3 linked regions of the Caenorhabditis elegans genome follow. The protein of the gene in region 2 interacts with the protein of the main gene of each other region in a pairwise test. Each region holds a gene or a part of one and is shown on either strand. Other genes may lie near its edges.

Region 1 (3,756 bases), on a different chromosome or scaffold from region 2:
GTTAACTTAGGAACAACCAGACGCTCAATTTTTGTCATTTTTCCTGTTTTCATTCTGCGTTCCAGATTTTACGGATTTCGGAAAATCCGGTATTCATTTATTTCAATCAGAAACAACAATCAGGAATCACACTTACGCTGCAGCTTCAGACATACTCCTTCATGTTGTTTTAACTTTTCTTTTTTCCTTCTTTTTCTTCTTTTTTGTTTCCTTTTTCACTTTCCATCCTTTCAAGCTTTTCACACATTCCCAGCTCAAAAACAAAAAGGGAAATCCCCAAAATTTTCTCTTCCGCCAAAACACAATAATCTATGTGCTCCCCAGAGTTTTCTTTTATTTTTTCACTTTAATTCAAATTCTAGTCATGTTTGGGGCCAACCAACTCAATCTCAGAATGCCCTCAATCAATGTTTGTGTGCTTGAAAAGAATGTGAGGGAGGATCTGATTAATCCCGAGGGGCGTGTTGCCTCCACCCTCACTTTTTTGTTGTTTTTTTTTGCTCTTTTCTGTTTGATACCAATTGAATGACTTCTGACGAATCTGCAAAACATATTCAACTTCTGTTTCTGGAATTTTTAAAAGCTTGTCAATTTAGAGTGAACACTAGTAAAATTTTTGATTAAAAAAATTCCCATCGCATATTCCTTTTAAATAGAAACTTATAACTTTAAATCGTTCCAGATATATATTATCTGTATATTTATAAAGGAGAAAAACGAAGCAGTTGATCGAATTTTAGAATATTCTATTTTTTAGCTGGATCATTTATTTGACAATTGCTATTAAAAATTATAATTAATTGAGTTTTCTATGAGACTTCAAATATAATGAAGCTTTAGCTGAAAATCTGGAATTTGTTGTCTCCGAAACCAAATATCCCAAATTAAGCCCCGCCCAATTGTCGCCCTTCTCGAACTTTTTGCAACAAATTTTCTAGAACTGAACCAACTTTTTTCGCTGTTTCTTGGTAGTGTGTCCTTCTAGAATGTAGAGAAACGAGATAGTCTAGTTTCACTGTTTTCCATTTAATTTTGCATCTGTTTCTTCCTTTTTACCTCTCGCTCCTTGTATTCCCTTTTCATCTCATCTCTGAATCGAAAACGACGACGACGATGAGCATGTTGCACATTCAGAAGAGCCAGAAGATGAAGAGACACGCAGACAAGGAAGGGAAAATGGAGAGCCGCGACAGCATCGGGGCGAGTCCTAATCCGATGGGCTCTCGCCAAAAGGTGAGGGGGCGGAATGAGAGATAGAAAGGGTGGAAAGGAAAAGGAGACCAATAAGAGAAACGCCGCGGAGAGAAGAAGAAGAAGGCATGGACACAGAAAGTGAGATATCCGCGACATTACTCTCACACTATATCGTCCATCCTCTCGTCTATGCTCTCCCTTCTGGCTCCGTGGCTTCCCGTGGATCTCGGTACACATGCGTCTCTGTCTCCATTCTCTTGTCATGTTTGTCTCTGTCTCCATTCTCTTGTCATGTTTGTCTCTTCCTCGCCTTTTCGCGCATTTTCAGCAGAGCAGCAGCATCAAGGAGCGTCTCCGGGGCTCTACAATTTCTGCGTGTGGTCACTTGCGCGTCTTTGCTCACTTTGTTGGCTGATCTGAAAAAAAGAAGAGAAAACGAAAAGAAACCAAAAGCTGATTTCTGATCATGCTTGGCAAACTTGTAGCGACTTTTTGAAAGGTTTTCTTTGTACTTCTACGCACCTAATATTTGTATTTTTATGTGTCCTGTACTCACACCACTTATGACAGTCTGTCTCTTGACATGGATACTCTTTTACTTTGGACTTTGTGTCGGTGGAAACAAAACTGTTTGATAATCTTCAAATTCTTCAGTATTCTTTAATTTAATTTGATAAAATTGACTTTGACCCTTTCCATTTTCCTTGCTTATTCTAATCTTCTTAAATTCTATTTTTAAAATTTCAGCACAAATGGGTCACTGCACGAGTAAAGATCAGAAAGAAGGCAAACGTCTGAATCGTCGGATCGATGAGCAAATCAAGAAGGATCAATCGATGAGTCTTCGGATCATCAAGTTATTACTATTAGGTACGTACATCTTTCGGTTTTTTTCCCTGAAGAAATTTGAGCTCGTTTCATTCGAAATGCTATGGGAAAAAAGAGAAAACACGATCCACACGGTGTCCAGTTGGAGCACACCGAAGGGGTCAGGTGAAATATATTTATTTATAGAAAGTCTGCGTTTCTGGTTTTAAATTTAGAAGATAATTAAGTTTCCCATAAAATAGTCTAGTTGAGAGCTAATTCTGTTGTTCTATGATCTTTTACTAAAATAGAATATTTTCGCATCACATAATTCATTCATTCCCCCGAAGAGTAATCCTTTCCATTGAAGGACATTCTATTTGATATTTATTCTTGCAATATTTAAATGTGAAATAATTCACGAACTCAAACTTCAAACATCATAATGTATACATTTGATTTGAAATTTTTCTGAAGTGAAATGGCAAGTCTTGTAAAAACTTCACTACCTTGATAAAACCCCAGAGCAAGCAGATCACTTTTTTCTAGTTTCATGTCAACTAAAATTTTTTGCAAAGATTTTCTTCCTCATGTCTGTTCTGACATCAAAATTACGTATTGCAAGTAATAAAGTATGTCTGAAGCATAGAAAATGGACAAGAACTTTGCTCCGATTCCAAGTTGTTAAGATTGAATTTGAAAAATAATGAGACTTTGTAGACAGTGCAAAATCAAGCGAATAAAGTTTCAAGGAATTCCAAACAAATAATTTATCTACAGTAGGTCCCAAAACACATTATGATAACGCCAAACCTCATTTATAAATTGATCGAAACAATGTGTTCTCTCTGAAGTTTTCTTTTTTTTTGGCTTCTGATCGAATTTCAGATTTTTCTTTTGAGAAAGACAAGGACGCATATTTAATTTAAAACTAAAAAAATATATATATTTAGTATTTTCTCAGTATAATTTTCTGGGGTAGTTTCCTGAAATTTCCCCAGTTTTCTACATTCTCTATAAAATATATTATTAATACTTTTACTTTAAAACTTTCCAATTCGATGTGACCACTGAGCTAAAAAAAACAAAAAGTGTCCTCCTGACCCAATTATTTCGCTTTTTGACGTCACGGAGCAAATTTTTATTGACTCTGCACCAGCAACGACCCATCCAATTAGTATGTGTAGAAGTGAAGGAAAAAAAAAAGAGAAAGTTGTAAAATGATACATGGACATGGAGAGAAACATGGGAATCCTGGAAGAAATGTTTAAGAATTTTTTTTGTGTTTTGGTATTTGTTGGAATGAGATGAATCATCATCACATGCTGGATTATTGAAATAATCTTTTTCACTCAATCTTAAAAAAAAGAAAAGGACATTATTAAAGAATTGTTGGGGAAAACCCAGAAAACTCGATAATTCCAAAGATAGGGGTCTATTATTGACATTTTTTTTTGGTAATTTGAAGATTAATTTTGAAGTTCTAGAAACAATATCAAAAATGTTCATGCAAGATATGGGAAATCGAATGAAACTTCACTTTTTTTTTAAAGAAAATAGTCCGACACAAAATGATATAAATATTGTGAATATTCTTTGCAAACTCGTTTTTTTGTGGTTTCTGAATAAATGACGATAATTCAACAAGTGGTGGGTAACTTTTAAATCCTTATAGTTCAAATAATACAAATTTGGACCAGAAAAACTAATTAACTAGAATATATTTTTCCAACTAAATGTTTACCAGTTTTGTTG
Region 2 (3,756 bases):
CACTTTTGACGGTAACTAAAAAATTTAAAAAATTTTTTGAAACGTTAAACTGTTATACTTAGGAATTTTATTACCATAGGAGAGGGTTTAAAAAATTTCCCAGTCGAGGGCTTCAAAAATATTTTCGAAATAAATTAGAAACTAACCTTGAACATTTGTATATGTATTTACATACTCATCATACGAAGATTCAACATCGTCATCTTCCTTTTTCGATACAACCAATCCCTTGGAACGTCGTTTTGCAACTCTCGTCTCTTCTTTTCTCGCTTGCACCACTGCAAAACAACAAATTACTGTTTTTTGTACCTCGGACTTTTTGGCCAATTGAACATGTGACAAATGACCTTGTCAATGATCACTCACGTTCTCTGCGCATTCCGGCATCTAAACATTTGATGAACCGACAGTGACGGCATATCATTCTGAGCTCGTAATGGGTTCTACACGGATTTGTGTCATCTCCAGTGCCAATGCATTCGTAAGTCATTGACATTGAAACACTTCTTCGGAAAAATGCTGCACATGCCTGAAAATATGCTCATTTATTAAATTTATTCCAATTAAATTGTGAGAAACATGTTTCCGGAGGTATTAGTGATGCAAATTGTACTTTTCATTTTCTCTTTATTTAAACATAAAGCATGCAAAGTGTGATGTACGTTATCAACAACTTTTTCTATTTGTTCGTGGTTTTCAGTAAGATTATCATACAAAACTTGGTCAAAAGGAGCTAGTTTCTAAACAGGAACTGTACTGTGGTGTGTTCAAACATCCGATCAGATGAAGATCTTCTATTGTCATTCTAGCTACACTTAAGACTACAAAAACAAATAGTGTGAGACACATACCACAAATGGCCACAAAAATAAGTGATGTTTCGTCGAAATACGCAGACGGAAAAAGAAAATACCTGACTACAATACACTTCTAGATAACACAGGATAACAATAAAAACACGTGGCGAGCATGTTACAAATTTTGGCACATTTTCAAAGCATAGTTATATTATTACGCCTTAAAATACTTTAGGACCTTTTTTCACAATTATCACTAATGAAACCAACGGTTTATCGGTGTTTTTAGAACAAAAATTCAAGTCTAGAAATGTTGATTTTACGAGTTTGAATGATAAAAAATATGATAAAAGTTTGAAATTACAGTACTCTTCAAAGACGCACAACGTTTCGAATTTAACAAAAATATGTTGCGCTGAGGCAGGATACCGTGGGCCTGGGTAATAATGTCCGATGCAAATTCAATTGTTATCCAGAAAACAAAAAATGTATATTGTACAACAACAACGAAAGTACAACACTTGTAAAAACAAAAAATGTTCATTTTTTCGGAGTAGTGCTAATTAATAATTGATACGAGAAATATTTTTTTCTTGATCATATTGCTTACCTTACAAGAACGACCTCCAAAATGTAGAGTATTGGCAGTGGGAGATGAACAGACATGACAACTTCGACTGTCAGTTAATGGAGATGGCATTCCACGTGGAGATGTTGAAGCTTTATTTACAATCTCTGGGAGATGATTCGATTCCGGTGGAGGTGATGAAGATCCCTCTTTCCAAATGCAGAAGTCAATATCGAATGATGGTTGGAATCCAAGATCGTAAGATGGAGATGATCCTAACGAATCACCAACGTCCAGAGACTCAGGAGATGGTGGTACGTCTTCAAAAGTATTTTTGAATAAATCGGTAGGTGGATAGAAATATTCATAGAGAAGGTCCGTAGACATATTTGATTAAAGTGAAAATGAATGGAGGTGTGCGGCAATGGTAGAGAGTAAGAAAAAGAGAAGAGAGAGGTTAGAGAGAGAAAGGACCGAACAAGGTTAGTACTGATAAGAACAGAATTGGGGGAAAATGAAGAAGAGAGAAAGGTGGGAAGAGGCTAATTGGAGGAGATGAGAAATTGGCTGGACAAAGGGGAGAAGATATTAATATATGGATTTATTTATTTGTTACGGCAAGAGATAGAAAATTGATTCATTAATTTTAAAGAAATGTGAGTTTTAAATTTGCAATTCACTGAATTAATATTTTCAAATATATGTATGAATAAAAAGTCTGTGGTTTGAAAATAATGCAAAACTATTTTCAATTAAATTTCGCCTATTTATAGTCACTGGAACGGAAACTTCATTCTGTCTAATCGAAAACGTGATGGGAAAATTTCAAATTATCACATTGAACTTATGGTTTTTCAAAAAATTTAAATACTCAAGTTTTGAATATTTCACACAAATATATATAAAAATAATAGAGAGAATAAAGATTTACGTTCGTTATAGAATTAGAGAGAAACGTGCGAGAACAAGAGATCGCCGACAGTGGCAGAGATTGCGGAAAAGGTGGATGTAAGAGAATTAGAGATAAAAGAAAATGTAAGTATATTAATACGAAAGAAAAAACAACTAAGCTGTCTGCGACTCATTGAGAGTACTAATCTTTTGAACCCTGGAAGATATGTAAAATACTGCTTCAGAAAACTGGCCGAATTGTTTTCAGAAATTGACATCTTTTCACAAGTTTATATGAAAATATTTTCCTGGCAATGCAGAATAATCAGAAATCATTAATATTTGAAATATACTTTTTTTAATAAACTTTTTTCAAATTCAGATCGAAAGGAGCAAATTTTTTTCAATGACGAAGAATTAGGACTATTCATCGGCAAAAAATATCATCATGCTGCGGGAACAGAAATTATTAATTTCCTGTATTCTTGTCATCATTTTGAACTGATTTTCATAGGTTAGCATCAGAAACTATAGAAAATTTAAGAAAACTCGAATGTTTCCAAACGACTGTCAGTCAGCCAACCAGGTGAAATGATAAGAAAATGTGCATTTTATGTTCATAGAATACAAGGGATAGGTGGTGATAACACAGAATTTGTAATATTCAGGCATTTTTTGAGGATTACCGGTTTAAATTAAAATGTATAAATATCATACAATTTTTTTCTATTTCAAACGAATGTTCATAATGAAAAATCTGAAAGAAAACATGAAAAACGCGGGTAAAACTATTTTTTTAAAAATGGATATGCACATTTATAACACAGATGATGATTCTGTACAATTATATTCAATTTCATACATTGAAGATCATCTCCAGAGTGTACAAGTCTTCTGACGATCACAAGCTAGAAGACCTCGGCCTGACGGATTCCATGCCAGAGACATTATTTGAGCCGAACTGAAAAAAAAACATTTTTGAGAGCAGAATTGGGGCATTGTACTCTGGAAGCGGATTTAATTTCCCAAGTTTTCGATTTTCATTCAAAATTACGGTATCTCGAAACGATAATTTTTTATTAAATACATATTCATCTTTTAAGAGTACTGTAACTTTAAACGCTTGTTGCTGCCATATTTTTTTACATTTTTTCAAAGTTTTTATTTAAGTGTAGTTTTATCGAAAGATTTAGAAATTAAAATTCCGCAGTACTCTTTAAAGGCGCACGCCTTTTCGCAATTAACTGAAATATATCGTGTCGAGGGCAGGTGCTGTACCTTTGGAACTAAAATCGCTAACTTTTGCGTCTGGCTAATGATGGTAACAAAAATTCTATATTCTATAATATCACATTTTTGATTAATTCTAACAAAAAATTTTGAAACATTTTTGAAACACTTTTTTGTAATATCGTTTCTTAATTTCACTCACTCTGATCTCGCAGTTTTCACAACTTTTTCCAACTTTGTGGTTTTTGTATTCCAAATGAAAACAGACGA
Region 3 (3,756 bases), on a different chromosome or scaffold from region 2:
TTGAAGCATGTTCAATCTATTCGCGCATGATATTATGTTTCCAGTGATCGATGAATAATGTGTGGAAAATTCCGAAAATCTTCAACTGTGTGCCTCATCCCAATTTGAGATTTAATTTCTGAAATTCCTGCCAATAAATGAATAAGAATAGCGAAAAGTAAATATTTGACATCTTTATTTTATCGGGCAAGATCCCACCAGAGACAAAAGAGCACATGGATATACAGCGAAAGATTGGATGGGATTTGAAATTCACATAATTCGCACAGTTGATTATGTTTTATTAAAAAAGGGAAGGGGATCAAAAAACAGGGATGGTGGTAATATGTAAGTTAAACATAAAATGGTGTGTGTGGCAGGAGCTAATAAGGATCAGAAAGAATTAATATAAAAAAGAAAAACGCTCACACGGAATGCCCGTATTCGTCAACAAAAGAATCAAGAAGAGAACCGCATTTTTTTGGATGATAGTGTAAAACAAGAAGAACATTTGAAGGGGGTGGTAAAATATAAATTAATTGATATTTAAACCAATTTTATTGCTTAGACTGGAACATTTCGAGCGTGTCCCATTTGTTCGACCATTTCTGAACCGGCACGATCGAGTTGAGCAAACCACAGTCGGGGACATCTGAAATAATAATAATTTGAGAAGATTTTTTTAAAAAAATTATTAGATTTTCGAAGTTTAGATATTTAAAAATCGAAAAAATTACGAATTCCAACACAATTTTTTAAAAGAAAATTTTAGGTCGTGTTTCGATAAAAATATCAATTTTTAGATTTCAAAGAATAAATAAAAACATACGTGACTCGTCCTTGCATATCATAAAGTGTATGCCAATTCCATGGGCCATCACATGAGATGAGTGGTTCGAGATTTGCAACTCGTTGGCACAGTTTCACATACGACTCCCAGCAATAGTGACACCGAACCCATGTGCCCGGAGACATTGGAACCGATGCTGCAGACGAATTGGACGTCACGTTGGAATTGTAAGTTGTTGGCATATAATCCACATATCCACTTGAACGCTTCACGTTGGCATATGATAACTCCGACTGAAAAAAGTAAATTTTTATTGAATTTTGAAAATTATAATTTGATTTCTTTAAAATCACTTAAAATTTATTTTAAACTCACCGGCATTGCAACTTTTGGAACAATTGGTGCGACATGTCTCGTGGATCCATTTAGACGACTCGACCCGCTGATCTGGCTCACATTGTTACGGGATGTGCTGGTTGATGGTTGCACTGGTTGCTTGTATCGACAATCAGGCAAAAGAAACATGTCAAGATCCACGTCAACTGATGGATCCATGATTTCGTGGATTTTGTTCTCATTGTCTGACAATGTCAATCCAGAAAACATGTTCTCCGACGAAGAAGCCGACGAAAATCCGGAAGATGGTGTTCTCATCAGTGGTGGTGGGCCAGACGTTTTTCGAGAATTGTAGTGTGTCGGGCGATCAAATGCATGATAATGCTGTTGTTGTGGAATCATTGCACGAACTCTCTTGTTCTTCTCTATATACGTCAAATGCAATTTTTGACTTCTCAGGCCCGAACGTTGTTGGGGAGAAGATGACAAGCTGGAGAGAACTCCGCTATCTTGACTGGATTCCCAAAAATTGGAAGGTTGATTGAGCGGAATCAGCGGCTTGATTTCAGATCGGAGTTGAAGCAGCTGAAATTAATTTTTATTAATTACGTCTATTTAATGAAAAATTATTTATTTTAATTAAAAAAGAGCAAAATTCTGTTTTTGGAGCGCAAAATTCTATTTAGTGACGAAAGCCACGTGAACGGCGTGACAAAAAATAGGTCAGTTTCGACACGTTTATATAAACGAAAAATAAAACTTCCAACTCACTTGCTTCGGCGCCTCGTGTTGCGACTTCGAGTAGGCGATGGTACTACTGCTTTTGTTGCAGTTGTTTCTCTGAAAAATGATAATATTATTATAAAACTGAAGGTAATAAAAGAAATGGAGAAAGTTGGAGAATCGGGATCATCGTTGAAACAATTCAATCGGAAAGAGAAAATACATATTTAATTTCAAAAAAAAAGTGAACTCACTCTTGGAGGAAGAATAAAAGTCGAACACATTGTCTCGCGCGAAGATTGAATAGTCAAATAATTCTTTTGAAATGAGAAAGAACATGGCACCGACGAATAATTGGACAATTCATCGAAAATAACAAGCGTGGGAAAGTTGTCATTTTCCCACGTATTTTCCCACGCCTGGGGGAGGCGTGGGAAAATGCAATGGAGCAAGAATGCAAGAGCTTTTTTGAATTTCGCGGGCTTTAAAAACATTTAAAAACATGTTTTTAATCGACAAAAAGTTTATTTTTAAAGAAAAAACATTGGATTAGTCTGAAAATTGAAAAAAAACCTCAAAATCGCTTGGGCAAGCAATTAAATTTGAGAAAAACGTTCCCAGATGGGAAAGAAAATAGTTTCCCATTAATCGAAGCCGCTCAAAAAGGTGTGCGCCTTTAAGATGTACAGTAACCCACTCCCCTTTCGCAATTTTCTTAAGCTTTTTCTAGTTTTTCTATTTCAAAAATAAGCAGAATTACATGAAAACCTGAAAAATAAGGCAAAAAAAAAATCTTAGCGAGAAAAAAATAACGTGTAAAATTCCTTGCAAGCGGGTTACTGTATTTCTTAAAGGCGCATACCTCTCAACGCGTCCCGGAATTGGAAATATTTCGTTCGTAAAATATAGAAGTTTTAAAATTGGAATGTAAAATTGTCATCGAAGCCTCATCAACCTAAAATCCGAACACTTTCAATCGGAACTAATCTAATTTCAATCGAAATGGGGGAAAAATGAAAAGAGATGAGAGTAATTAGAGTGACTAAATGAAACGATAAAAACTACGACAGTAGGTGGTCAATAACGGCAGGTAGAAGATGAATGGAGACCTCTTCTTTAGGAGAAAAGAATGACAAGATGAATCATTGAACAATACAGCCATTTGTCAATTTGAAAACATTTTGGGAAGATATCTAAGCATTCTCAGATGTTTGGGAAATTGGAACTTATCAAGGAAACATTAAATTTAAACGGAAAAAAGGTTTAAGATAACAAAAAAGCGACATTTCAGACACTTCGAAGATTTTATTATCGTTTTGAAAACGGAACTGCATGAAAATTTTGTTTTAAAAAAATAAAAAATAAAAATATTACCTAGGTACGAAATTTTGCAATTTTTACGACGAAAATAAAGTACCAGGTCTTGAATTTATGTTAAATACAAGCAGGTTTGCGCCTTAAATCTACAGTACTCCTTGAGACTACTGTAGATTCAAAATGTTCGTTTCCGTCGAATTTTCATCGATTTTTCAAAATAGTTTTTCTTACATTTGGCACAATTTATGTGTTTTTTCTAATTTTTATAAATATTTAAGTTTTATAAAAAATTTTACCGAAAACCTACGAAAAAATCTTTGAAAATTCTGCAGCGATCACCACAAAAATGGGCTATCAAAACATTTTTTCGTGGCGAGACCCATCCGAATGGACCTGTGTGCCTTTAGCTTACTTTGGTGCCATACAATAAAATTTCGATTGTAAAGAAAAAACTACAAAACAACGAAAACTATAAAGTTTCCAAAAACTTTATCACTAGGAACGCGATTCAATTCTCACTAACTTTCTTTTTATCAAATCACACTCAAAATTCAATAAACCGATTAACTAAATGGAATGCCGTCAGTAGTAACAATTGAAAGATTATTAAA

What was found.
Region 1: the proteins of nhr-22 (region 2) and gpa-7 interact in binary tests that used the Caenorhabditis elegans proteins (3 or more experiments, as listed by UniProt).
Region 3: the proteins of nhr-22 (region 2) and lst-1 interact in a two-hybrid assay, tested with the Caenorhabditis elegans proteins (one study listed by BioGRID).

The regions. Positions count from the first base shown.
Region 1 is NC_003282.8:10,402,073-10,405,828, forward strand, and holds the start of gpa-7 (Guanine nucleotide-binding protein alpha-7 subunit), read left to right. Parts: upstream 1-1,935; 5' UTR 1,936-1,946; coding exon 1,947-2,064; intron 2,065-3,756. UniProt on the Caenorhabditis elegans protein: Guanine nucleotide-binding proteins (G proteins) are involved as modulators or transducers in various transmembrane signaling systems.
Region 2 is NC_003280.10:6,448,037-6,451,792, forward strand, and holds the start of nhr-22 (Nuclear hormone receptor family member nhr-22), read right to left. Parts: upstream 1,757-3,756; 5' UTR 1,753-1,756; coding exon 1,408-1,752; intron 530-1,407; coding exon 367-529; intron 279-366; coding exon 147-278; intron 1-146. Other genes in the region: atg-16.2 (Autophagic-related protein 16.2), read right to left, coding at 3,127-3,217, 3,689-3,756. UniProt on the Caenorhabditis elegans protein: Orphan nuclear receptor.
Region 3 is NC_003279.8:10,586,868-10,590,623, reverse strand, and holds lst-1 (Lateral signaling target 1 protein), read right to left. Parts: upstream 2,124-3,756; 5' UTR 2,113-2,123; coding exon 2,083-2,112; intron 1,952-2,082; exon of another isoform or gene 1,946-1,951; coding exon 1,877-1,945; intron 1,691-1,876; coding exon 1,145-1,690; intron 1,063-1,144; coding exon 809-1,062; intron 632-808; coding exon 544-631; 3' UTR 160-543; downstream 1-159. UniProt on the Caenorhabditis elegans protein: Plays a role in germline stem cell maintenance, perhaps acting in concert with mRNA-binding factor fbf-2.